Linked DNA regions of Arabidopsis thaliana. The protein of the gene in region 3 interacts with the protein of the main gene of each other region in a pairwise test. Each region holds a gene or a part of one and is shown on either strand. Other genes may lie near its edges.

Evidence for each region. Proteins that work in one complex are often made in the same cells at the same time.
Region 1: the proteins of CJD1 (region 3) and AT5G53140 interact in a two-hybrid assay, tested with the Arabidopsis thaliana proteins (one study listed by BioGRID).
Region 2: the proteins of CJD1 (region 3) and ARC6 interact in a two-hybrid assay, tested with the Arabidopsis thaliana proteins (one study listed by BioGRID).

The regions. Positions count from the first base shown.
Region 1 is NC_003076.8:21,546,735-21,554,539, reverse strand, and holds AT5G53140 (Protein phosphatase 2C family protein), read right to left. Parts: upstream 6,144-7,805; 5' UTR 5,744-6,143; exon of another isoform or gene 5,520-5,743; intron 5,359-5,519; 5' UTR 5,313-5,358; coding exon 5,029-5,312; intron 4,678-5,028; coding exon 4,550-4,677; intron 4,180-4,549; coding exon 4,081-4,179; intron 3,984-4,080; coding exon 3,825-3,983; intron 3,613-3,824; coding exon 3,526-3,612; intron 3,132-3,525; coding exon 3,040-3,131; intron 2,908-3,039; coding exon 2,833-2,907; intron 2,747-2,832; coding exon 2,408-2,746; 3' UTR 1,946-2,407; downstream 1-1,945.
Region 2 is NC_003076.8:16,983,454-16,990,741, forward strand, and holds ARC6 (Chaperone DnaJ-domain superfamily protein), read left to right. Parts: upstream 1-1,642; 5' UTR 1,643-1,841; coding exon 1,842-2,348; intron 2,349-2,430; coding exon 2,431-2,655; intron 2,656-2,742; coding exon 2,743-3,003; intron 3,004-3,086; coding exon 3,087-4,074; intron 4,075-4,363; coding exon 4,364-4,497; coding exon of another isoform or gene 4,498-4,509; exon of another isoform or gene 4,510-4,588; coding exon 4,589-4,879; 3' UTR 4,880-5,155; downstream 5,156-7,288. Other genes in the region: AT5G42470 (BRCA1-A complex subunit BRE-like protein), read left to right, coding at 1-90, 178-308, 397-445, 509-598, 681-734, 881-946, 1,040-1,137, 1,219-1,285; AT5G42490 (ATP binding microtubule motor family protein), read right to left, coding at 5,156-5,501, 5,593-5,873, 5,953-7,288. UniProt on the Arabidopsis thaliana protein: Component of the plastid division machinery consisting in a binary fission accomplished by the simultaneous constriction of the FtsZ ring on the stromal side of the inner envelope membrane, and the ARC5 ring on the cytosolic side of the outer envelope membrane.
Region 3 is NC_003070.9:2,746,061-2,754,630, forward strand, and holds CJD1 (Chloroplast J-like domain 1), read right to left. Parts: upstream 5,561-8,570; 5' UTR 5,150-5,560; coding exon 5,019-5,149; intron 4,719-5,018; coding exon 4,619-4,718; intron 4,534-4,618; coding exon 4,429-4,533; intron 4,333-4,428; coding exon 4,255-4,332; intron 4,166-4,254; coding exon 4,110-4,165; intron 4,017-4,109; coding exon 3,959-4,016; intron 3,742-3,958; coding exon 3,616-3,741; intron 3,518-3,615; coding exon 3,422-3,517; intron 3,203-3,421; coding exon 3,131-3,202; intron 2,717-3,130; coding exon 2,654-2,716; 3' UTR 2,301-2,653; downstream 1-2,300. Other genes in the region: AT1G08645 (uncharacterized protein), read right to left, coding at 5,753-5,770, 5,882-5,947, 6,191-6,535; PPCK1 (phosphoenolpyruvate carboxylase kinase 1), read left to right, coding at 6,146-6,950, 7,123-7,172. UniProt on the Arabidopsis thaliana protein: Probably involved in the regulation of the fatty acid metabolic process in chloroplasts, especially chloroplastic galactolipids monogalactosyldiacylglycerol (MGDG) and digalactosyldiacylglycerol (DGDG).

The DNA.
Region 1 (7,805 bases), on a different chromosome or scaffold from region 3:
CGAATTTTACTAAACAAACCCGGTTCGACCTTCCTAAGGTAACATTACATTTAAAAACACATAAAGAGAACCACTCTTTGGCCATATATTATGAAATTACCATATCCAAGCCACATAAAACACAAACAAATTTGCCCGTGAACCCGTTGAATACATATTGGTGCGCGTATCCACGGAATACAGATTCCGCAACAATCAGCTGAATATAATAGAGATACACAAGGATCATAAAAGAAAGATCTTGAGAATCTATCAATCCAATGCAATCAAACATCTTAACAATAACTAATATCCAGATTAAAATGAAGACCCTCAAAATCTAGCAACATTTAAACACTGATGAAGAACCAAAACCAATCAAAGCCACAAAAACTCAACTACGATCTTCAAACTCTATCTAACAAGAGATAAACCTAAACTAAACCACAATTCACCAAACTTAACCTATGGTTAAAGAGATACACAAGGCTCATAAAAGAAAGATCTAGAGAATCTATCATCTAATGCAATCAAACATCTTAACAATAGGTGTATCCAGATTTAAATGAAGCCTCCCCTCGAAATCTAACAACAATATAATCACTGATGATGAACCAAAACCAATCAAAGCCAAATAAACACAATTACGATCACAGATCTTCAAATTCTATCTAACCTAACCTAAACCACAATTCACCAAACCCACAATCAAAACTCCCAATACCATTTGCATCTCATAATCACTACGAACCCAAAAAAAAACCTAATGCACATTTCATTCAATGCAATCAATCAAACCAGTACGAGACCCGCGAAAATTGTAACCATTTCAAAAACATTTCAAACGGATCTACACACAAACGGTACAAATTCCACTACCCTAAAATCAAACCCAAATTTCGCCATCACAGAGACACCAAAAGTGTGATACAAACCCATAAAACCCTTATAGATCACTGCAATTTCAAAGCCCTAAAACCAATTTTCTCTAGTATAAAGTGATAAAGCGAGAAAGCGAAAGGGCACAAAGTAAACAGAGAAGAAGAAACCATGAAAATAGGAGAAAACATACCAATCGTTGGATCGCAACTCCGAGGATAAGAATATTTTTTGAATCAACCAAACTTTATTTTTTTTCAGATACACCCTCACAAACCCTGCTCTTTGATATTAGTTTTTTTTCCTTTTTTTTTTTTCTCTCTTGAGAACACCTCAAATATATAATGTGAGAAAAACAATGTATTTGGGTGTGAAATTTATTAAGTTGTTCAAAGTAAAAATCCAAAATTTACTAATCATGGTTAAGTTAACCATGGTTAAGTTTTGACTCAGTAGGTTAAGAGTGGTATAAACATGAAAATAAATTATTTTCTTCTTAATCTGTGGTCTACAACTTACACATGTCTGTTTTTGAATTTATTAGATTTAGACTAATTATATATTATTAGGTTATAAATTAAATGTAAACAATATATTTAGGTACTAATTATCCTCTTTGAATTCAAAAATAATAAAGTTACTTTATTATACCAGTTTTACCCATAATTGCTTAACTATAGTTACTTGACCATGGTTAATTAAACGTGGTTATTTAACTATGGTTACTTAACTGTGGTTACTTTGTCATTATTTGTAAATATGGTTATTCAACCATAGTTAAGTTTTGACCTACACTGAAAATTTAAATGATAAAATATTTTTCTTATCTTTCTATCGTTTTTAAATGGTAATTCTATCGTTTACAGCTCACACATGCATATTTCCAAAATAAATCTGGAATATAATGTTGACTCATTAATAGTTTACAACTTACAAGTTTGTTAATCATGAATAAGATTTTCTATACTTATCACATCAGCCATTTGATAAATTTTCTTGATTCACAACTAATATTTGTTGTCCACCATTTCCATATCTTGTAATTAGACAAGGGAAGTGCAAACATGGAAGGATATACTAGAAGAAGCCAAATATCAGTTAAGTTATGCGCGAAGGAGTTAATTGTTCAAATAACCACAAATTTGTTATGGTGATACTTGAGATCTACTAATAACGTAGAGACGAACGAGGAAAGCTAAGAGATGGGGAAGAATTACAAAAACATTGTTTATTGGAATGGACGGTGTTTTAAATAAAAGATAGAAAAAAGTAGGAGAAACAGAGAACAAATGTGCTGTTTTTGGTGTGAGTAGCACCAACAAAAACAAAATAGGGTAAAATGAATAGACAAAAATCGGGGACATGTCAAAAGGGTCGTCGTCGTCCTCAAGGCAGGCATAGGCATGTGCATGAATGCAACACAAAACCAAAAAACACAAATCCTCACACGTTACAGGTAGCCACAAACCACACAACTTACTAAGCAATTTTATATTCATCTGTTTCCACATGTCCCCAACAGTATGGACACCTTTCCCCGGCTGCTACCTTACTCACCAGCTTTCTCACCCTTGGTCTCTGGTTCGGTTTCAGGTTTTGGATCAGGTATAGCATCAGGTTCGGATTCCAGTTCAGCTTTGGGGATTGATTCAGTTTCCAATGCAGTACTGGGGTTTGATTCAGGTTCCAGTTCAGTTGTGGGGTTCAGTTCAGGTTCCGATTCAGCCATGGCGTTTGTTTCGATTTTAGGAGATTCTGTCTTATCATGACGGAATTTAACAACAATGCACGTGATGTTGTCTGCACTGCCACGGCTGAAGGCAGTGTCAGTTAACTTGCGGGCAGCTGCTTCGGGCTCTTCCTCGCTCTGAGCAAGGGCTACCGCATCCTGAATCAGATGTAGAAAATCAAATATTTAAATCCCTCAAACCATTCAGAAACAGATACAAGGGGGTGAATTTATTTGAGTCATACCTCATTTGGTACCACATCCCATAAACCGTCACTTGCAAGCACAAGCAACTCGGCCTCATGATCTATCTCTAGATCCTGAAAAATAAGCACAGAAGCATGTTCACAAAAACTTAAAACTCGGAGATTTCACATGGGTGATACTACAGATGATGAGAACAACATGACACCCTTGGACAAAAACAGTAAGTTGCAGTTAGAAGCGGTTACTTGTATCTCGGGTTCAGCAACAACGAATTGCTTCAGCATTCTGTTACCAAAGGCCCGGGACATAGCCAACACCCCACCTACTCTCCATGTTCCTGACAAGTAAAAATCAAGATGATATTATTATCAAGTCTAGGGCTGAAAGAAAAATTCAGAGAAGGATGCTTAATGGGCATGCCTCAGGAAATCTAGTTTTTCTCTGACACTGAATGTTTAAAGCATGAATAACCCTAACCCGACAAATAGAATGCCTAGATAAGATGGTATGTGTGTCATTGTTCCATCTAAATAAGGAGAAACAAAAAAACCAACAATAATATTGTCATATTCAATTTCGCGAAGGAGATATCAAGCATTTTGAGTAAATCAATAATGAAGCTAGTAATCTAACTCAAGAGAGAAATCTGCGATCTCACTTTGTCATGTTTAGAAGCAAGCAACCAATTAGGGGGACACAAACGAGGGACAATTTCTTATATATCAGATTACCTGCCCACATGATAACACCACCAGCACTTTCAATTCGCTTTCTTTCATCGCTTCTATTTGGCTTATGGTCATCAGATAGCGCGATCGCTGCAAAACATAAAGCACGAAGTTTGAAAAGAGTCCTTATGGAAAGAACACAACAAAGGTTTGTGACCAATCATAAGAATCCATTCACTATTAACTAAATTTCAATGTTCTATAAGGATAGTATAACTCCAATTCCTAAACTCATTTTGAAGCTCTCGATTTTATCTTTAAATGATATGCCACATTGTATTAGATCACAACGACATACTGACCTTTCCCAGCTTTAGAAACTATTGTCCTCGAGTCTCCAACATTTGCAACATACAAATGGTTCCCCACCAACACAGCAGCAGATGCTGTGGAGCCATCATCTCTGTAAGTATCCTTTTCGGACTCGAGGAATGCTACATCAGTTTGTTTATATGTTTCATCTGCCAAATTAACCATGTAAGAAGGAAACCAGATGACTTATGAGCTTCATACTTCTTAGATTATAACAAGATCTTATGTCAAGAGATATAGACGCACTTAATGCCAGCTTGGTGTCTGTCAAAAATTGTGGATGCTTCATGAGATTGTTAAACAGGTGTTCCTTCAGGTATTCAGCAGCACGTGAACCACCATGGCCTGTGATGATTAAAGCTTCAGATATTAGAAGAGGAAAAATAGAGATCAAGTCAACAATCTATGATTCTGTTTCTGAGTATTATATGAACGCATATTGCTAGTTCAAGTGCACTGCAACCTTTAATTTTCCTAAATAAGTATGTACAAATACGGACTCTAACTAAGGTAATTCTAGATCTTTCTTAACTGTCATTCTGCAAATGAAGCTGGACTGTGTTTTAGCTCAGCCATGTTTACATTGCGATAATACAATAGTAATAAGGAAAGTTGAAAACTAGGCTTCAAAACAGATCAAATACCTTCCCCAAGTCACACTAACACTTCGTATTCGTCTATACCAAAAGAAAAGGAAGGAAACATAGAATCTAACCATCAAATATTCCAAACATGCAAACTGCTTGGCCTTCAATAGTGGAAGCTTTGATATCATAGAAATCTTCCATCGTAGATCTTTTCCCTCTGAAACTACAGTACCCACAGCTCAAGCTTCCATCATCACTGTCATTGCACGTAACATATATTAAAGACCACTTAAAAACAAAAGAAAAAAGTAGAAAACAATACTTTCACATTGATCCAAAGATATAGACAATTAACGATTGCCTACATAACAATATAAAACTTCAACGTATAATGGAACTTAGTTTCTTCCATGACATAATCATCCGTATAACAAAATAACTTGGTGAAAGATATGACAATCTTGCTAGCATTTCACACTTAAAATATAAAATGATATCTTCAAAACAAGTAATATTTTAACAGCCCTATATATATACCTAAGGCATTTGCTACATTCAGCACAACGATACAAAGACACGGAATCTAAAAAAACGAGAAACAACTCACTTTTTCCACCCACCACCGATGTATCCACCATCATCAACTTTCTCAGGCGGCATATCAACTAAGGATATACGTTTCTCTCCAGCAGAAGTATCAACCATCATCTTCGCACTAGTTCTAAATCCAATTCCACTGGTTGTTCTAAATCCAATCACACTAGTTCTAAATCCAAAACCCACACTCAAAGTCTTCTTAATATGAATAAACTGATGTCTTCCTTGAGCCAACACCCCAATACGACAACCAGCTTGAACAATGAAACTCCTTATGAAACTGCTGCATACCATCTAAGTAGTCAAACCTTACCTTAAATTAGTTTCTCCAATGCAGGACCTGCATATAGAAAAAATTCATTCTGTCATTAGTAATAATACGATTCCTAAATCAGAAAACGAAGATACGAGCTACTTCAACAACATAGAACATGATCATCATCAACATAAGAGCTAAAATACAGATCCTGGATCCTTAAAACCCAAATTAAGATAACAAACCCTATCTATCTGTATGGATAAGTTGAGAAATGTTGTTAAACTGATTTCAACCTCTAAATTCTTCAATTAAACTTAGATCCTGCATATTCAACGAGTAAGATTATAGAATTCAACAAGCAAATCATGAACAATAACGAACACGATCCAGAATCTCTACTTCCTAAGCAAATTTTCGATTCAAATAACGAAAACGGATCAAATCAAAGGTAGAGAGAAAAACTAACAAGGTATCTTGTGGAATCAAACTCGAAGAGAGAAAGAAGAAGAAATAAATCCAAATCAAATCAAGGATCTGTGGTGGAAACGGAATCCTAGTATTTATCTGAGAGCTCTGACAAAAAAAGAATCGAATCGGATCGGAAAACACACGGTGGTTGATCTGACCACGGATCCGAATCTGAGAGAGAGTGAAGAAAAATTGGCTGAACGAATCAGCTTTTTGGAGCTTCCATGGAATCTGAGAGAGAATCCAAGAGAGATGGAGGGAGAGAGAGAGAGAGTGGTGGTGAGTAGTGAAAGAGAGAGAGGACACCGAACAGAAGCGGCAACGTGGCACTAGTCATGCATCCTAGATTTATATACTCCCACTAGGTTTTGTTATATTCTTTTTCCATTGGATTACCGATTACCTCACTTTATTCCAACTAATCAACTTTTTAAACAATTAGCTAAAATTAGCCACTTTCATTGTATTATAAACCTAATTAAAACAAATTATACTATAACCATAGCTGGCTCATTCATTCTTTATCCTATGAGTCTCATATAACTAAGGTTTTGAAAATAAAAAAAATTATAGTTTTGAGTGGTAGTGGTGTATCTATTTGGTATAAGTTATGCTCTTTCCGTTTTATCAATAGGGTCGTTTTAAAATTTTATTTTTGTTTTACAAATCTTGTCTTTTTGTTTTTTTCTATACACTTTTTGAAAATAAATATCTTTTTAGTCTCTTTTATTTTGGGTTATTAATAAGAAAGATACTTTGATTCTAATGTATTTGTAAAAGATAAAATATAAATTTAAACAGTTTTCTTAAGTTGTGTTAATATGTTGGAATGATACGTTTCGCGAAACAGAGAATTATTAATTTATGTCACCTAAATTTGTATTATTGATTTAACAAGTATTATTGTATAATCAAAGGTTAGTGTCAGGCAAAAAAAGAAGAAGATTATGGGTATAATAAAGTCGAAAACCTCAACCATAAAGAAAATTATGTTTATGAGCCCAAAGGTTGCCATGGCATTGAGATAAACAACATCGAAATAGAGTTATTTATGTCATCATAGGTTATGTTGTATTGGAAAATACCATGATCAATAAGATAAATTTGGTTTTAAGAATACTATGTACATCATAAGTTTGAGAACTTGCATGTAATCAAGGAGAATTTCTGAAAACACACAGAAATATATTCAACCACTTTGTGTCACATGTGTACAGCTTTAAATGTACAAAACAACAAAAGATACTACCAATATATCTCGCATAAGATTTGGCATTCAAGTACATGAGCATTGTAGTGCCAAGAAATCTGATCATCACAAGAGAAACGCAAAATTCGTTGAGAGATTGTTTCAATCGTTCTTTGTCAATTGGTCCCAAAACGAAGACCAAGAATGAAAATGGTAAGGATCACATATTACCTTTAGAGGTAATGAACATATACAGATACAATTATTGAATGAAACAGTGGAACCTAGAATATGTTCAGTGTGAATTTGTGATCATAATTAAGTAATATTATTCTGAATAACAAAACTAAAATTGATACACATTCTTTATATATCGTGATTTAGGAAATTATTTACAATTTCAATTTTCTAAAGAACCCATCACATATGGTTTTACTTTTACGATTTATTATAAGTAAAAATTAGGTTTCATTTGCGAGATCTATCCAAACTGTAGAATACATTGGAAGTTGCTAGCGTGTTAGACCAAGGAGATCTGAACGTAGTTCTCCATGAGAGTTTTTACTCTTGCTACGTTATTGGTTCTTTTGAGATTTCATGTACGTTATCCCTAAGAAACCCGTGACCGTGAGCATCATATTCAATTATGCAAGAATAAGCTCTTAAGAGAATGCACTTTAATTGTTAAAAATTAAAATGGTCATATATATTGTCCTGGTAAAATTGGTACACTGAAAAGCGTGGTTACGAATTTGTCACCGGTGAGGAAACAAACTAAAGGGCCGTGTTATTTAGGTCACAATTCCACAACTTCTTTTTTTTTTTTTTTTCACAATTCCACAACTTGTTTATACGTAACCTAAACTCTTCC
Region 2 (7,288 bases), on a different chromosome or scaffold from region 3:
AAGTTTGCAGTACCTCTTGTGATGGATATGAACATAAACAAAATGGTGGTTGGCTGCCCTTGGAAGCATCAGCAGAAGATTTATCTTCAGGTTTTCTCTTCGTTCTTATAATTTTATCCTTTTCTTCACTCTGTTAAAATTGCTGGCATCTTCTTGAGAAACTTGTTGCGGATCCAGGTAGTATACCCGATTCTTCGGAAATATGAAGCAGCACCGTCAGCACCTCGTTTGAAATTAGTATCATATTATGATTTAAAATCGCTATTCTCTGTTGAGGATGTTAAACTTTCTCCATGGATGGACGGGATGTAAGTTAGTTACAGATGTACACACAGTTCACTATACCTGCAAACCATACATGTATTAATCAGTAATACTTACATTTCTATTTCAAAGGTGCTTGGCTGAATATCTTCCCCATCTTGAAGAAACACTTGAGAGACAGGTCAGTTAAACTAAATCTTCTTAATTTCCTGAGTACGAGTGCCTTATTTACCTTAATTTCTAGATCCATGAAGCTGTTGCTGCAATTGATTTAAGGAGGAGTTTTATTGAGGCATTAAGTCTTAATCTGGGAAGACCTCTTGAAGCCGATCCTGTAAGCATTTCTTCGCACGCCTTGACATATATTTAGAACTATTTCCGAGCTTCTTAACTTTCTTATTTGTTTTTCTTGCTAGACCTTTTGCCGTAAGGCTACATTCCTTAATGCCTCTGGACAATTTACTTTCATGGTAATTATTCTATCACTATTCAAGCCTTGTTTAAAAAGTTCTATTCAATCTTTGCCAAAGTGGATTTTCATACTTGTCTTCTAGAGAAATCTCAATTTCACAAAAATATGTAGCAGTGGATTATTGGGTTTTTGGCTTTGCTGTAGGTTCATTTCTTCTTTTCAACTCAATTTCCGAAGCAGCAACCAACTCTGATGCTGCAAAGTTGTCAGGTATCAAAACTATTTGTAAACGAACTAAGTAGAAGGCTTCGACTTTCTCTTTATTTATTTAGGTATAAAAATTGACAAGCTTTTTATATGCAGCATTTAAACCAATCGAGTGTGCCAGTGAAATCGAATCTCCTCACTGAGTACCCATGGAGTCCAAGATGGGAAGTGGGACGCATGGCTGAGCGACTGTGGTTAGTCTCTATGGACTCTTTCTTAGATGTCTTATTTAACTAATTCTCCTTCTGAACATTTAAAATTTTACTTTTTTGCAGTGACTTCCTGACCGACGAGGCTGTCAACTTTAAAAAATATTGTAACGAAGCTCTGCTCCAACATTAGTGTATCTATTTCGAAAGTTAGTATTGTCCAAATTTTATGTGACACTCCTCTTGCTATGTAAACTGAAATGGATTACTGTTCTGCATTAAGGAGAATACAATTATAAGCAATTTGTCTTGATTTCAACAAGATTTTGCTTGGCTATAGGATTCATTGGCTCTGTTTGCTTTTACATTTACATGTCATAATAGTTTCGAATTTTACACATTTCAGTTGGATGTTAAGAAAAGAGAGGGAATTGATGGGGTTTTGTGGGTTTAAACTTTAAAGTAGTCAAGAATTAAGTCATTGGTTTACTGTTGCTCTATATGTGTAAAATGAAGGCAACTCCAACGGTTCTTAGGTGGAATAGATTATTTAGACGATTTAACATCATAAAGTCCGTGGCGACTGTAACATCATAGATTGTTTTTTATTTTTTTCAGTAGCTGGTGATGTTTTTTGATTTAACTTATACTACTCAAAATCAAAATTCCATAAACCCTAGACGACCAAACAGTCTCTTCAATATGTAAAACAGAACAAAGTTTTTGTAGTAGCCTAAAAAGACACTCCCATGGAAGCTCTGAGTCACGTCGGCATTGGTCTCTCCCCATTCCAATTATGCCGATTACCACCGGCGACGACAAAGCTCCGACGTAGCCACAACACCTCTACAACTATCTGCTCCGCCAGCAAATGGGCCGACCGTCTTCTCTCCGACTTCAATTTCACCTCCGATTCCTCCTCCTCCTCCTTCGCCACCGCCACCACCACCGCCACTCTCGTCTCTCCGCCACCATCTATTGATCGTCCCGAACGCCACGTCCCCATCCCCATTGATTTCTACCAGGTATTAGGAGCTCAAACACATTTCTTAACCGATGGAATCAGAAGAGCATTCGAAGCTAGGGTTTCGAAACCGCCGCAATTCGGTTTCAGCGACGACGCTTTAATCAGCCGGAGACAGATTCTTCAAGCTGCTTGCGAAACTCTGTCTAATCCTCGGTCTAGAAGAGAGTACAATGAAGGTCTTCTTGATGATGAAGAAGCTACAGTCATCACTGATGTTCCTTGGGATAAGGTAATTTCGATTTCGGAATAATAAAGTTTCTTCGTTTTAATTTCATGAATTGGATAAAGGAAGGAACTTTTATCTAGTGAAGGTTCCTGGTGCTCTCTGTGTATTGCAAGAAGGTGGTGAGACTGAGATAGTTCTTCGGGTTGGTGAGGCTCTGCTTAAGGAGAGGTTGCCTAAGTCGTTTAAGCAAGATGTGGTTTTAGTTATGGCGCTTGCGTTTCTCGATGTCTCGAGGGATGCTATGGCATTGGATCCACCTGATTTTATAACTGGTTATGAGTTTGTTGAGGAAGCTTTGAAGCTTTTACAGGTAGTTTGACTTGCTTTGGTAATTTGACGAGCGTTGGCTTTATAAGAACTTTCTTGATTTGATACTTTGTTATTGAGTCTTGTGTAGGAGGAAGGAGCAAGTAGCCTTGCACCGGATTTACGTGCACAAATTGATGAGACTTTGGAAGAGATCACTCCGCGTTATGTCTTGGAGCTACTTGGCTTACCGCTTGGTGATGATTACGCTGCGAAAAGACTAAATGGTTTAAGCGGTGTGCGGAATATTTTGTGGTCTGTTGGAGGAGGTGGAGCATCAGCTCTTGTTGGGGGTTTGACCCGTGAGAAGTTTATGAATGAGGCGTTTTTACGAATGACAGCTGCTGAGCAGGTATACAGTTTAGATACCTTTTTTTAATTTCTTTAGCATGATATAACTTTAGGTTTCTCATTTTAATGTATGTTGTGTGGTAGGTTGATCTTTTTGTAGCTACCCCAAGCAATATTCCAGCAGAGTCATTTGAAGTTTACGAAGTTGCACTTGCTCTTGTGGCTCAAGCTTTTATTGGTAAGAAGCCACACCTTTTACAGGATGCTGATAAGCAATTCCAGCAACTTCAGCAGGCTAAGGTAATGGCTATGGAGATTCCTGCGATGTTGTATGATACACGGAATAATTGGGAGATAGACTTCGGTCTAGAAAGGGGACTCTGTGCACTGCTTATAGGCAAAGTTGATGAATGCCGTATGTGGTTGGGCTTAGACAGTGAGGATTCACAATATAGGAATCCAGCTATTGTGGAGTTTGTTTTGGAGAATTCAAATCGTGATGACAATGATGATCTCCCTGGACTATGCAAATTGTTGGAAACCTGGTTGGCAGGGGTTGTCTTTCCTAGGTTCAGAGACACCAAAGATAAAAAATTTAAACTCGGGGACTACTATGATGATCCTATGGTTTTGAGTTACTTGGAAAGAGTGGAGGTAGTTCAGGGTTCTCCTTTAGCTGCTGCTGCAGCTATGGCAAGGATTGGAGCCGAGCATGTGAAAGCTAGTGCTATGCAGGCACTGCAGAAAGTTTTTCCTTCCCGCTATACAGATAGAAACTCGGCTGAACCCAAGGATGTGCAAGAGACAGTGTTTAGTGTAGATCCTGTTGGTAACAATGTAGGCCGTGATGGTGAGCCTGGTGTCTTTATTGCAGAAGCTGTAAGACCCTCTGAAAACTTTGAAACTAATGATTATGCAATTCGAGCTGGGGTCTCAGAGAGTAGCGTTGATGAAACTACTGTTGAAATGTCCGTTGCTGATATGTTAAAGGAGGCAAGTGTGAAGATCCTAGCTGCTGGTGTGGCAATTGGACTGATTTCACTGTTCAGCCAGAAGTATTTTCTTAAAAGCAGCTCATCTTTTCAACGCAAGGATATGGTTTCTTCTATGGAATCTGATGTCGCTACCATAGGTATGATTAAATGATGCAATTTTCATATATCTGCATTGCTCAAAATATGCTTGTTTTGTGAGCTAAGAACATAGTTCCCACTTAATACATGTCCCAAAAGTTGTACCAAGATTAACAAGTTGCTGAGTAAATTTCACTAATTATGCTGCTTGAATTTTTTGATCAAACTGTAGACAGAAATGTAAATTTCACTCTCAACATTTCTGTTTAGAATAACGTAGGATTAGAGATTGCCTTAGTGTGGCTTTGTCCAACTTTTCTTTCCTTGATTTTTTTCTTTTCGATTTAGGGTCAGTCAGAGCTGACGATTCAGAAGCACTTCCCAGAATGGATGCTAGGACTGCAGAGAATATAGTATCCAAGTGGCAGAAGATTAAGTCTCTGGCTTTTGGGCCTGATCACCGCATAGAAATGTTACCAGAGGTGAGGGAATAAATCTACAATTCAATCAATTGTGTGAAAACTGTTGGACATGATTATAGTCTGGTGCCTTGTTTGATTCTGTTATTTATAGGTTTTGGATGGGCGAATGCTGAAGATTTGGACTGACAGAGCAGCTGAAACTGCGCAGCTTGGGTTGGTTTATGATTATACACTGTTGAAACTATCTGTTGACAGTGTGACAGTCTCAGCAGATGGAACCCGTGCTCTGGTGGAAGCAACTCTGGAGGAGTCTGCTTGTCTATCTGATTTGGTTCATCCAGAAAACAATGCTACTGATGTCAGAACCTACACAACAAGATACGAAGTTTTCTGGTCCAAGTCAGGGTGGAAAATCACTGAAGGCTCTGTTCTTGCATCATAATATACTCATATGTAGCATGTCTGAGCTTGCGAGATTCTCTTTGTTTTGTAAATTCTCTCTCTAAGTTAGTGTTTATAAATGAACACAAAAAAATTAACGTTCTTGGCACACCCTTTTCCTTGATCTAAACTATAACATAAGGGCTACAATTTTGGATTCTTTCGCAATCAGGTACAAGCAGAACTTGACTTATCTTACATTCAAGCCTTTCACAACTTAACTATCAGTGTTTGGAGACTTCTGTCTTGTTTATGTTTTATAATTGTGCTCTGGTTATCATCTGGTCAAGCGTATAGCAGAGAATGATTTGGTAAATCTCCAGCCAGATGATTTTACGTTTTCGGTTCTAGGTAACAAGCTGAGGCCAAACATTTCCTTCGGCATTCGACTTGGCTCAACAAATCCAAGCAGCTTAGCCACAAGAGAAGCACTTTCTTTTATGTGGTCCATATCTTGGGTGTTGGTCCACAGCTTGTGCGCCACTTGCAGGCTTCTCTGCTTTGAGTTCACCTCCACGCCCCATTTTTGGTAAAGCCCTATTCTTTGGTTCCATGGAAACTTCTTTGGTAATTGTTTGGAAATCCATTCCTTCTCGCGTGTGAGTGCCTTCACTGTTTGCATCCTGATTAGACACCAAAGGAATTGGTTAGCATACTTATGAGTATATGATTGATATTGATGAGACTCGTTAAAAAGGTGTTGCAGAAAAATACCTTGATGTTTCCATGTCATTAGATATCGTCTGCTTCAGAAAAGATAGCCTTCGAAGTTCAACTTCCATATAAACATAGTCTGAAGGATCACCTTTGAAGAGCAAAAAGAAGTAGGTTCTGTGAACCAGTGGTACATTGCATGCTGCCCAAAGCTCAATTATTTTCCTTTGCTGTCTCTCAAAGTCTGAAGAACTGATTGAATATTGTCCATTAGCAGCTACCTGTAGTTTCTCCTGGGAAGCCTCTGTGGAATCTGTTTCCTTAGGTTTTGCTTCTTCTACCTGCATTTTGTGATCATCCAAACTGTTGAGAAACGAAAGAAGTTTTTGTCTCCCCAAGAAAATATTTTTTTTGGCTTACCGAATCACCAACCTGCTCTCTCTGTGACTGATTATTGGTGGCATCTGTGGTTTCTTTATTTATATCCTGAGGATTTGGCAATGCATTCTCGTTTCCTCTAACGCTATCTGCAGGGCTTTCCGGTCTGATCTCCATTCTTTCGGTTTTTGTGGGAGCGTATGGAATCCCATAATCTAGCTCCGGTGTCGAGTCAATTGAGTGATGCTTCTTTGCCATTTCCTCAAGCCCTGCTACAAATTCACGGAAGCTATTGCCCATCTCAGGATCATAGTCTTTCAGGCTACGCGTATCAATGGAGGTAGAACTCCCTGAATCAAAGGAAATGCTCGAAGTGTTGGGTCTTCCAGGAGAAGCTTTTGTCTGCATAACCCTCCAGGTAGGTGATGTATTGTTACTAACTTCCAAACTCTCAAACCAATGAGGAGATCTAACACTCAAGAGATTTTCTCTGCAACTTCGGCTTCTTTTGGCAGTAAAATATTCTGGAGGACTCTTGAAATCTCTTCTGAAGGAGGGTGATTGTTGTTGTTCTGCTGTGTGCATGCTCATAAGGTATTCAATTTTCTTCTGCATCTCCTTAACTTTTTCTTTCAAAGCCATGTAAGTGTCGTTGTCATTATCATCTGTCCCAATATTTTTGCAGACAGATGATTCGTTACAATCTTTATCAGCCTCTTGTTGCTGTTTGCTCTCCCACTTATCTCTAGATGTCGCATCCTCATCTAACTTAGCATCGTTGGGTGTTAACTCCACTTCGACTGTTGCTTCTGATTGGTTATTAATAGGGAGTGAATTCAATTCACAGTCTTCCGTTGATTGCTGTTCTGACTGAGCATTTTCTTCTTTATTTAAGCATTGCTCAGCTTGCTTTGTGGAAGGACTCATTTTCCTCTCTTCATTCTTCATTTGTTCCTCTTCATTCACAGATTCCTGTGATTCTTGAGCTTCAACTGATGGGCCTATCTCCAAATCCGAGTTCTTTAGAGTTAGCTCATAGGTCTCAGGCTTAGCATTCACATCTATTGTTTTTAAAGATAAGTCAACATTTTCCTTTTCTGCAGGTGTGCTAATCTCCATATCTTCATTCTCGGCTTTCTCATTACTTGTAGAAGAGTTATAGCTTTGTTCGTATTCCAGAGCTGATAATGGTTCGTCCTTTCTAGGTGTGCTAATCTCCATGACTTCATTCTCGGCTCTCTCATTACCTGTATAAGAGTTATAGCTTTGTTCGTATTCTAGAGCTGGTAAAGTTTCTTCCTTTGCTGCAGGTATGCTAATCTCCATGTCTTCATTCTCGGCTTTCTCAATACCTGTAGAAGGGTTATAGCTTTGTTCG
Region 3 (8,570 bases):
ATTCACTCCCCCCAATGTGAAATATAGTAAAAGCATTAACCATAATATCAAAATAGGGAATGTAAGAAGAAGAAAAAATTTAAAATATAAAAAGACAAGAACAAATATGGTGTTGAGTCTGTTGAGACATGAAAATGATGCTCATGCATTATGAAATAACAATTAATTTTAAATAATAACCCCTGAAGTAATCTAAAGTAATCAAATATGTAAGATTCAGTTAGTAAATTAAGAACAGAGGTTTCGAAGAAATAAAATGTTAAAGAGTAATATTCAGATAGCCGAGACAAATTGTGTTAAAAAAAACAAGCACAATTCTAAATGAAACTAGAGGAGTGAGTACCTGTGTAAATGAAGAAGGATGCTCTTGTTTCTGATTCTAATTTGAAGTTTCTTATGAAATAAGCTTGTGGTGTCCTGAGATCAAATTAACACATAATAATAAAAATTAGAACAGAAAAAACATGGACCGTGAAGCTAATATATAATGAAGAAGAATTTCAGATTTGTATGTTCCTTCGACATGGCAGAGAAATAAAGAAATAAACAACAAAAAGAAGGATACTAACACAGAATCTCCTAAATCATAAGAGGAAATTCGAATGGGTGTGGGAGATTCAAAGATCTTTTTCAATAAAAAAAAAAAATTTGAGAATCTGAAACAGAACCTTTTAGTCTCTCCACACTAAAGATTCTTTCTTTATGAAGTCTCCTTTGATATATTTTGAGAAAGATGCAAAAAAGTGAGTGCCACGTGGATAATTTACGTGACATACATTAGGCCACCAAAGTTACCATTTGGCTATCATGAACGCCATAGAGATTAGGAACTGACATCGAAACTTAGAAAGAAAGAAACGACGAAAATGAAATATTATCGAAAACGACAAATTCTTTGTTTGGTTTGATAAAGACAAAGAAACTAACTATTATCAAGAAAGTAATGTTCACGAGAAAAGGATGAAACTGAGTTCTATGTGGGAAACACACGTAGATACGTGTCCCAATGCAGAAGTAATTCACGAGAATGTTGTCTTCTTATTACTCTCGGACTCATCGATGAACCAAAGCTTTATCATTCGTTAATGTCAAATCAAATTTTCAATTAGTAAATTGATTCAGATACCGTGGAAATTCTAAGGTGTCCGGTCACATTTCATCCCTTATATATACTAAATGAAAATTAGATAATATTCTAAACTCAAAACAAAAACAAAAAAAACGTATATGAAAACACCCAAACGAGTTGTTTAATGACATTACAAACACACGTACGTAACCTATACACAGAAATGTGACTATGTGAGAAATCATGACTATAAAACAAAAACACATCGAGAGATCTACTTTGAAAACATACCTTCTTCAGTATTCACACACAAACGGTGATCCTCTAACTCATATATAATGATTGTATTTATACTCTCTATTGTATGTTGAATATTTTAGTAATACTTAGAATGTGTATATATTTTACCATAAAATCAGTCAATTATATTAATATACTACTAAATCTAATTTTAGGCAAATACAATAATGAATATAATCTTAGGTTATTATATACTACCAAATAGAGCTTTTTCCCTTATTTCTTTTGTTTTTCAAAAAAAAATTATTCATTCCTATATCAATTGTTCAATGTTTCATTTGTTTTTTTTTTACAGTTAAAATTCATCATGTCTCCAATTAATTGAAGCATTAGGCAAGATATGTCATCTAGAAATATGGTTACCACATTGATTCTAAGAAAATAAATCGAACTTGTGTGTGTGTTTTCAAAAGAAGGAGAAGAAGAAGATGGAAAATGAGAGCGAATTAGGGAAACGTACCACTTTAGTAGTAAGAAACGCTTTGAAGTTGAAGACGTAACTCAAATATACTTTTCAAAGTATGTACTGTATATATAGTGTGGAGCAGCTGTACGTACTCCATCTATAAATAGAGAAAGACAGAGATATAGAGATAGAGACAGAGTCAGCTCCAACGTGTCAGCTCTACTCATAATTGGCGTCTCTGTTCTCTCTCTATCACATTTGTTTTATTTCCCATCGGATTCACTTCACCTACATAGTCCTTTTTCTTTTGCTGACCGTAGTGGACACTCCTTTTTGATGACAGTCGAATTCAGTCTTAGCCACCTGACCTGACCTTTATCTAACCCAACCAATCAGATTCGTACCTCAAATCTATGAAACATCTTTTCAGATGATTTTTCTCGCCACCACACCAAAGATATTAGCTCTCTATTTTGATCCCTATAACTTTTCATCTATCATCAATTCTAAACTCTCCACAGTTGTGTTTTAACAAGGTTGATAACGTTTCTCATCTTCGTAACGCTTCAATTGTGTGTACGACTGATACTTTCAAGGTATCTCAAGATTTTTCACTTCACGCATATTATTGCTCCAATACAAAAATTAAAAAACCTTCCACATGCGATCCTCAGCATTAAACGTAAATAGACAAGACTTAGATTCTAAGGGATTTCTCTCTTGCAAAATTTACTTGATTTTCCACACAAAAGAAAGGTTATAAAGATAACCCCATCTCTCTGTAGAAAATAAACTTTTCATCTCCCAGCAACATCCTATAATACAGCATAACTTCTCCAAAAGCTTCTAACTGACCAATTCTCCTGTGGACTCTCGCATTATCTGTAAAACGACGCTATAACATAGAGCATGAAAGCCGATGACGCCGTCACTATAAGTTCCTGCAACCGAATTAGCACTGTTCAGTCAGTTCTTGTTACATCATCAAAAGCCTGGTTGACTGATATCACTTATGGAACTATTTAATTTACAGACCAGACCCTTCTCTTTGCTATATCTTAATTCAGCAATTGTGGCAACACATATCCAACTCATGTGTTCCCAATTCATACCTAATACTTGTGCATTTAGTTTTTATTTCAGTACAAGTACTTCTTATACCTATAGATGTCACAAATCAAAACAAACAGCACAATCATCTACAACCTAATCAACTAGTGCTGTTCATTGAGGCTTAGCCAACAATTGACCTAAATATCCTAAACCATTTTTTGATCAAAATGATCATTTTGTGTGGGACTAGTTAAGAGAAGGTTTCAAGCGAAGAGAGATGTAAGTTATGCAAAAAAAACAACCTGGTTGTTGTAAAGAACCATGGGTATGGAGTAGCCCATGTACTCGATGCCATTTAAGAACCCAGTGTATGCCTGCAAAACATTGTTCACTGAGAGTTAAACATAGGTATACACAATTAAAAGAACTCCTGACATATCTAATAACTAGATCAAACAATCAGGAGCATCCATAAAATAACGCTTGGACACATTTATATCACATATGCCGCTCTCTTTGAATAAACCTAATACTAGATGGTGCAACATAAAACGGATTCTTTAAAATAACGGAGTCTTGATGGATATGCATACCAAAGATGCTAAGAGTATAGAGCCAAAAACTAAGGAAAGAGAACGAAGAAGCCTCTTTCCCATTCTCAATCCCCGTCCACTTTCTTCGCCTTCCTCCTGCAGCCAGTGTCAAACATCAGTGCACATCAGGATTAAAAGAGCCACTAAGTGTACGGACATCAAAACATAAGGCTTCAAAAAAATTCAAAACTCACGTTATATATTGGAGATGAAGGTGCTTCAAAGGATTTTAATTTCTCAAAAATTCTGTAAACAAATACAAAAGACATGAACTGCAGCGGTTTGTATTCAACATTACGTTTTATCGCAATCCATGCACTCTGCAAAAGAAAGAAACAGAAAGAGTGGGAGAGGCTCATATCTGATTGTACTTGAAATGTCATATATGCATAAATGTGTAAGAAACAAGTCACTTTTTCTGCAAGAATTCAGTCATTTATGCATGATGTCTTGATTCATAAAGGGTACAGATAAAAAAAAAAAAAAAACTGACATTTCTAATAATAGCAAACCTCATATTTCTTAAAAACTACTTACAAACACAACTGATATTGCTAGGTTGATCAACATATCATTCTTGGAGGACCTGGAAAACCTGTAACAACAAGGGTAAATCATGAGTAGTAACAGATCCTGCTTTTGAATGATGAAAATTAATAATGCGAGTAGACTCATAAAGAATCTCTACCTTGGACCCCATGGTATAATGGGCTGCTTATCAGCATATTTAATGTCCTTGGAAACCTGAATTATGAAAAATTCACCAAGGATTGAGAAAGAAAGGTCATAGAGTTCAAGACAGCATATGACAAGAAAGAGGATACGATACACACCTTAAACGAACCAAAAGTCACACCCTTTTTCCTATTCATCAACTGGGCATACATGAGCTTATCATATGCCTTCTCAAGCTATCAAAAGGTAAAACAGAGACGTGTTAACAAGAAAAAAAAAAAAAAAAAATCACTTACAGGACTCCAAAGAAAGAGAGAGGTAACGTAACTTACTAGAGCAGCAGTGGCTTCATCACCGCTCCTCTGAGCATCTTTAAGTTTCCTTCCATAAGTTTGCTTGATCTTGTCAAATCCCTCTATAGGGTTAACACCAAGAACCTGAGAAGGTACACACACTCATGTCATGAGAAATACACAACGACCAACAAAACAAGTCCTTTATAGGGCTCTAACGATCAATTACCTCATACGGATTAAAGTCAGCATCAGACTGTGGATTACCAGCCGCAGACGAAGCAGCACGTATCACAATCCTGCTCTGTAACACCTTTCCGAGGGGAAGCCTGAGAATTTCAATCATCCTCATTACAATGATAACGTGTACCAAATGGTCTGATAAGCACAACAATGGAACTCTCTTAAGTGCAATTGAAAGTTGTAAACTTTATAGGCAACAGTAAGAAGCTCATCCACGAATTAAGCCGTCGGAATTCAATTGACAATGTTTATGAAGGAAGAAGATAACGGTTACCCACAAAATCCGTAAGTTTACACAACAAAAAGAACTATCAAACGATGATTCTTCGACTTTAAAGCCACCGAAGAGAAGTGGAAAACAAAAAAGCAGCATCAAGAGAAAGTACCTGACAAAAGAAGGCGATTTGGGAGCGCGAAGAGAGTTCCTGAGAGAAATTTGAGGATGATGGTAACGAAGCGCGTTTGATGTTGAGAAAGCCATGACGGAGGAGCAAGAAGTAGATAGTGCGGGAGCCATGGCAGAGCAGAGCTCTAGTAGGGTTAAAAGGAAACTAGAAGGTTGGTGATTGATGTTTGGAAGCTAATCATTCAATACTCAATAGTTTGTTAAGGCTAAAAACTGAGGCCTGACCAATAGTTCGCGTGGCCCAATGGATAAGGCGCTCGCCTCCGGAGGGGGATATTCTCGGTTCGACCTCCATCGTGAACGAATTAGGTAATAATAAAGACGGCCTGCTTTCTTCAGCCCAACTGATTTATCGGCCCAATCCAGTGTCTTTATTAGTTTGTTTTCGTGGGATCTCTGGTTTACTTACTTGCAGGGATTATCTCCCAATTCCAATCCAAACATGCCACACTTTTCTTATCTCTTTTTCAGATTTCAATCTCGTCCAAGAAATCGTTTAGTACTCACATTCAATTTGGAAATGTTTTTGCATAAATTGGGGTTGGATTTCCTACCTCTTTTTCACTAGATTGTGCATTATCAATTTATGAACTTTTTCTGGAAACATATTAAATTGTAGATCCAATATTTTATCTTAACAAATCTGGATCTGTTGAGAATGTTTTTCTGTAATTTAGAGAGGATTGTAATTGTGTAGTACATTTGATAATAAACTTAAATGTGAATTTTAGACTACCACCAAGTAATTATCATTTCAAAGAACAAACCAAATAGATAATAAAGAACTGTTAGAAAGTAAAATTGTATATAATAAGATAAGAAAAGACATTACAAAGTACAAACCTTCTCCAAGTAAACTTCTAACAAAACAAAAAAATAGATTTGGATTGGGAAATAATATCTAAAATCCTATTTAAAACAAAATAAAAACAAAAAAGATATAACGTTAAGGAAAAGGAAAATACTAGTAGAAAAAAAAAACATGTAGGCATCAAAAGGAATATTCTCAAGAGTTTTGGCTATAAAAAAAGGTAGAGCCGACTCAAGAGGTCTTCTTAACTCACACAAGAACCAACACAAAACAAAAAATATTAAGAAAGTGATATTATGACTTGCAGCCAAACACTCGGAAACAACAACACCAACAAATACCAGATCTGCGAGGAGATCGGCCGTGGCCGTTTCGGCACCGTCTCTCGCGTCTACGCTCCGGCCACCGGTGATTTCTTCGCTTGCAAAACCATCGACAAAGCCTCTCTCTCCGACGACCTTGACCGTGCCTGTCTCGACAACGAGCCTAAGCTCATGGCTCTCTTGTCCTATCACCCTAACATCGTTCAAATCCATGATCTCATCGACACTGATTCGACTCTCTCCATCTTCATGGAGCTCGTCCATCCCTCTGTTTCGATCTACGACCGTCTCGTCTCTTCTGGAACCTTCTTTGAGCCTCAGACGGCGTCGTTCGCTAAACAGATTCTCCAGGCGCTTTCGCATTGTCACCGATACGGCGTCGTTCACAGGGATATTAAACCGGAGAACATTCTGGTAGATCTACGAAACGATACGGTTAAGATCTGCGATTTCGGTTCAGGGATTTGGTTAGGTGAGGGAGAGACCACCGAAGGAGTCGTCGGAACGCCGTATTACGTGGCGCCGGAGGTTTTAATGGGATATTCTTACGGAGAGAAGGTCGATCTATGGAGCGCCGGCGTCGTTTTGTACACGATGCTCGCTGGAACTCCACCGTTTTACGGCGAGACAGCTGAAGAGATATTCGAAGCGGTACTCAGAGGAAATCTCCGTTTTCCGACGAAGATATTCCGGGGGGTTTCATCTATGGCTAAAGATTTCCTAAGGAAATTGATATGCAAAGATGCTTCTAGAAGATTCTCAGCCGAACAAGCATTAAGTAAGATTCTAAAACCATCAGATCTGTTTCTCTGTTGAATTTTTAATGTCAATAAATTTCATCTATTTTTAACAGATAATGTTATCTTATCCACACTAATCCATTTTTTAGTAGGTTGGTTTAATGATAAAGTGAACTAAATTTGGTATTTTGTAATTTTGTTTTGTTGCAGGGCACCCATGGATCCAAAGAGCAGGAGAAACAGAGGAGAGATTCATCTAGAAGATTCTCTCGGAGAAATAAATAAGTGTCAAGTGATAGCTTATCATCTCTCTCGGTGGTTTTTTATCTAACAAGTATGGAGGAGTGTCGGGCATGTAAATTTGGGTTATGGGCATTTTAGATTCCGCCAGCCTACCAACCTAGTAGAAGAGAAGACTCTGGAAAAGACTTTTAACCAAAAAAAAAGGAGCTGAATAATAAAAGAAGCTTGTTTGTTGTGGCTGCTTCTGAGTTTGGCGATGAGTTTTTTTTTTTTTTCTGCATTTGTTGCTTATGTGAATTTTGTTTGGCTTTTGAAAAGTCTTTTTAGGGGTAGAGACGGTAATGTAGAGAGGATAACAAATCTTTTTCCGCCTTTTACGGGTTTTTTTTTCCATGTGGGGTGAGTAAAAGGATGTGAGAAAGCAGAGTTGTACTCCTTTTTCTGCTTTTTTTTTTTTTTAATCAATAAAAATAGTTTATGTTATCCCTAATCTAACACTTTGTTGATAAAGACCTAATCTAACCTTTGCACATATAATTAAACGAAATAATTTTCTCAAGCAATGAAAAATGTCGTTCAGATACTTGGAGAAACCATATCTTTTTTTGTTTTTATTATCTGATTGTTATCCACTCTCTTATATTTAAATAGTACCTTTTTAATTCAAATGTTCGTTTACATGCGGATCCTATTTCAGTGTAGTGTCTTTTGATAACAACATTCCACCGATTTAAAGTTAATGCACACTTTTCGTAATAGATCAACTTTTTTCACTCATGACTATTTGATGTTGAAAACAAGTACGTTGAGGGAAAAACACGATGTACGGTGGTGGGCTAGTTAGGTACGTTTCTTCTGTTTTCTAAAAATTCCCCACATTCCAAAATTTCAAAACTACAGCACTTTTGTTGCAAAGTCAAATTATAAGAATAATCCTCTCAATTTTCTAGCATCTCCGTATGTTATTCTTTGTCTGCACCAAATATATATTGGAATCTTTCAAAAAAGATCAAAACCCACAAAGGTAATATATGGAATATTTATTTGATATGAGCATATTTTAAGCATATTCTTTCATAAATAGACCTCCAACGAAATTTCCAATCTCCATGAGATATTCCCACGTTAGTATATGCCGTGGATCAAACCCTTATTGATTCCTTTCTTGAAAGAGTCTCTTTAGTTATAACGTGACTCATTATGAGTCTTCTGAGTCAGTGGAAGTTACTACTGTTTGATTAACAATTCTAACATTTTTTTGGCCTACAATATTTTTATTTTTAATGTTCTCGTTTTAAATAAATGTGAACACATGAAATTCCCCTTTCATGAATGCATGAAAGGATCCTACATTATTTAAAGAATAAAATAAACTACATAATTAACCATAATTTGGCAGTCCTAATCAAAGGAAT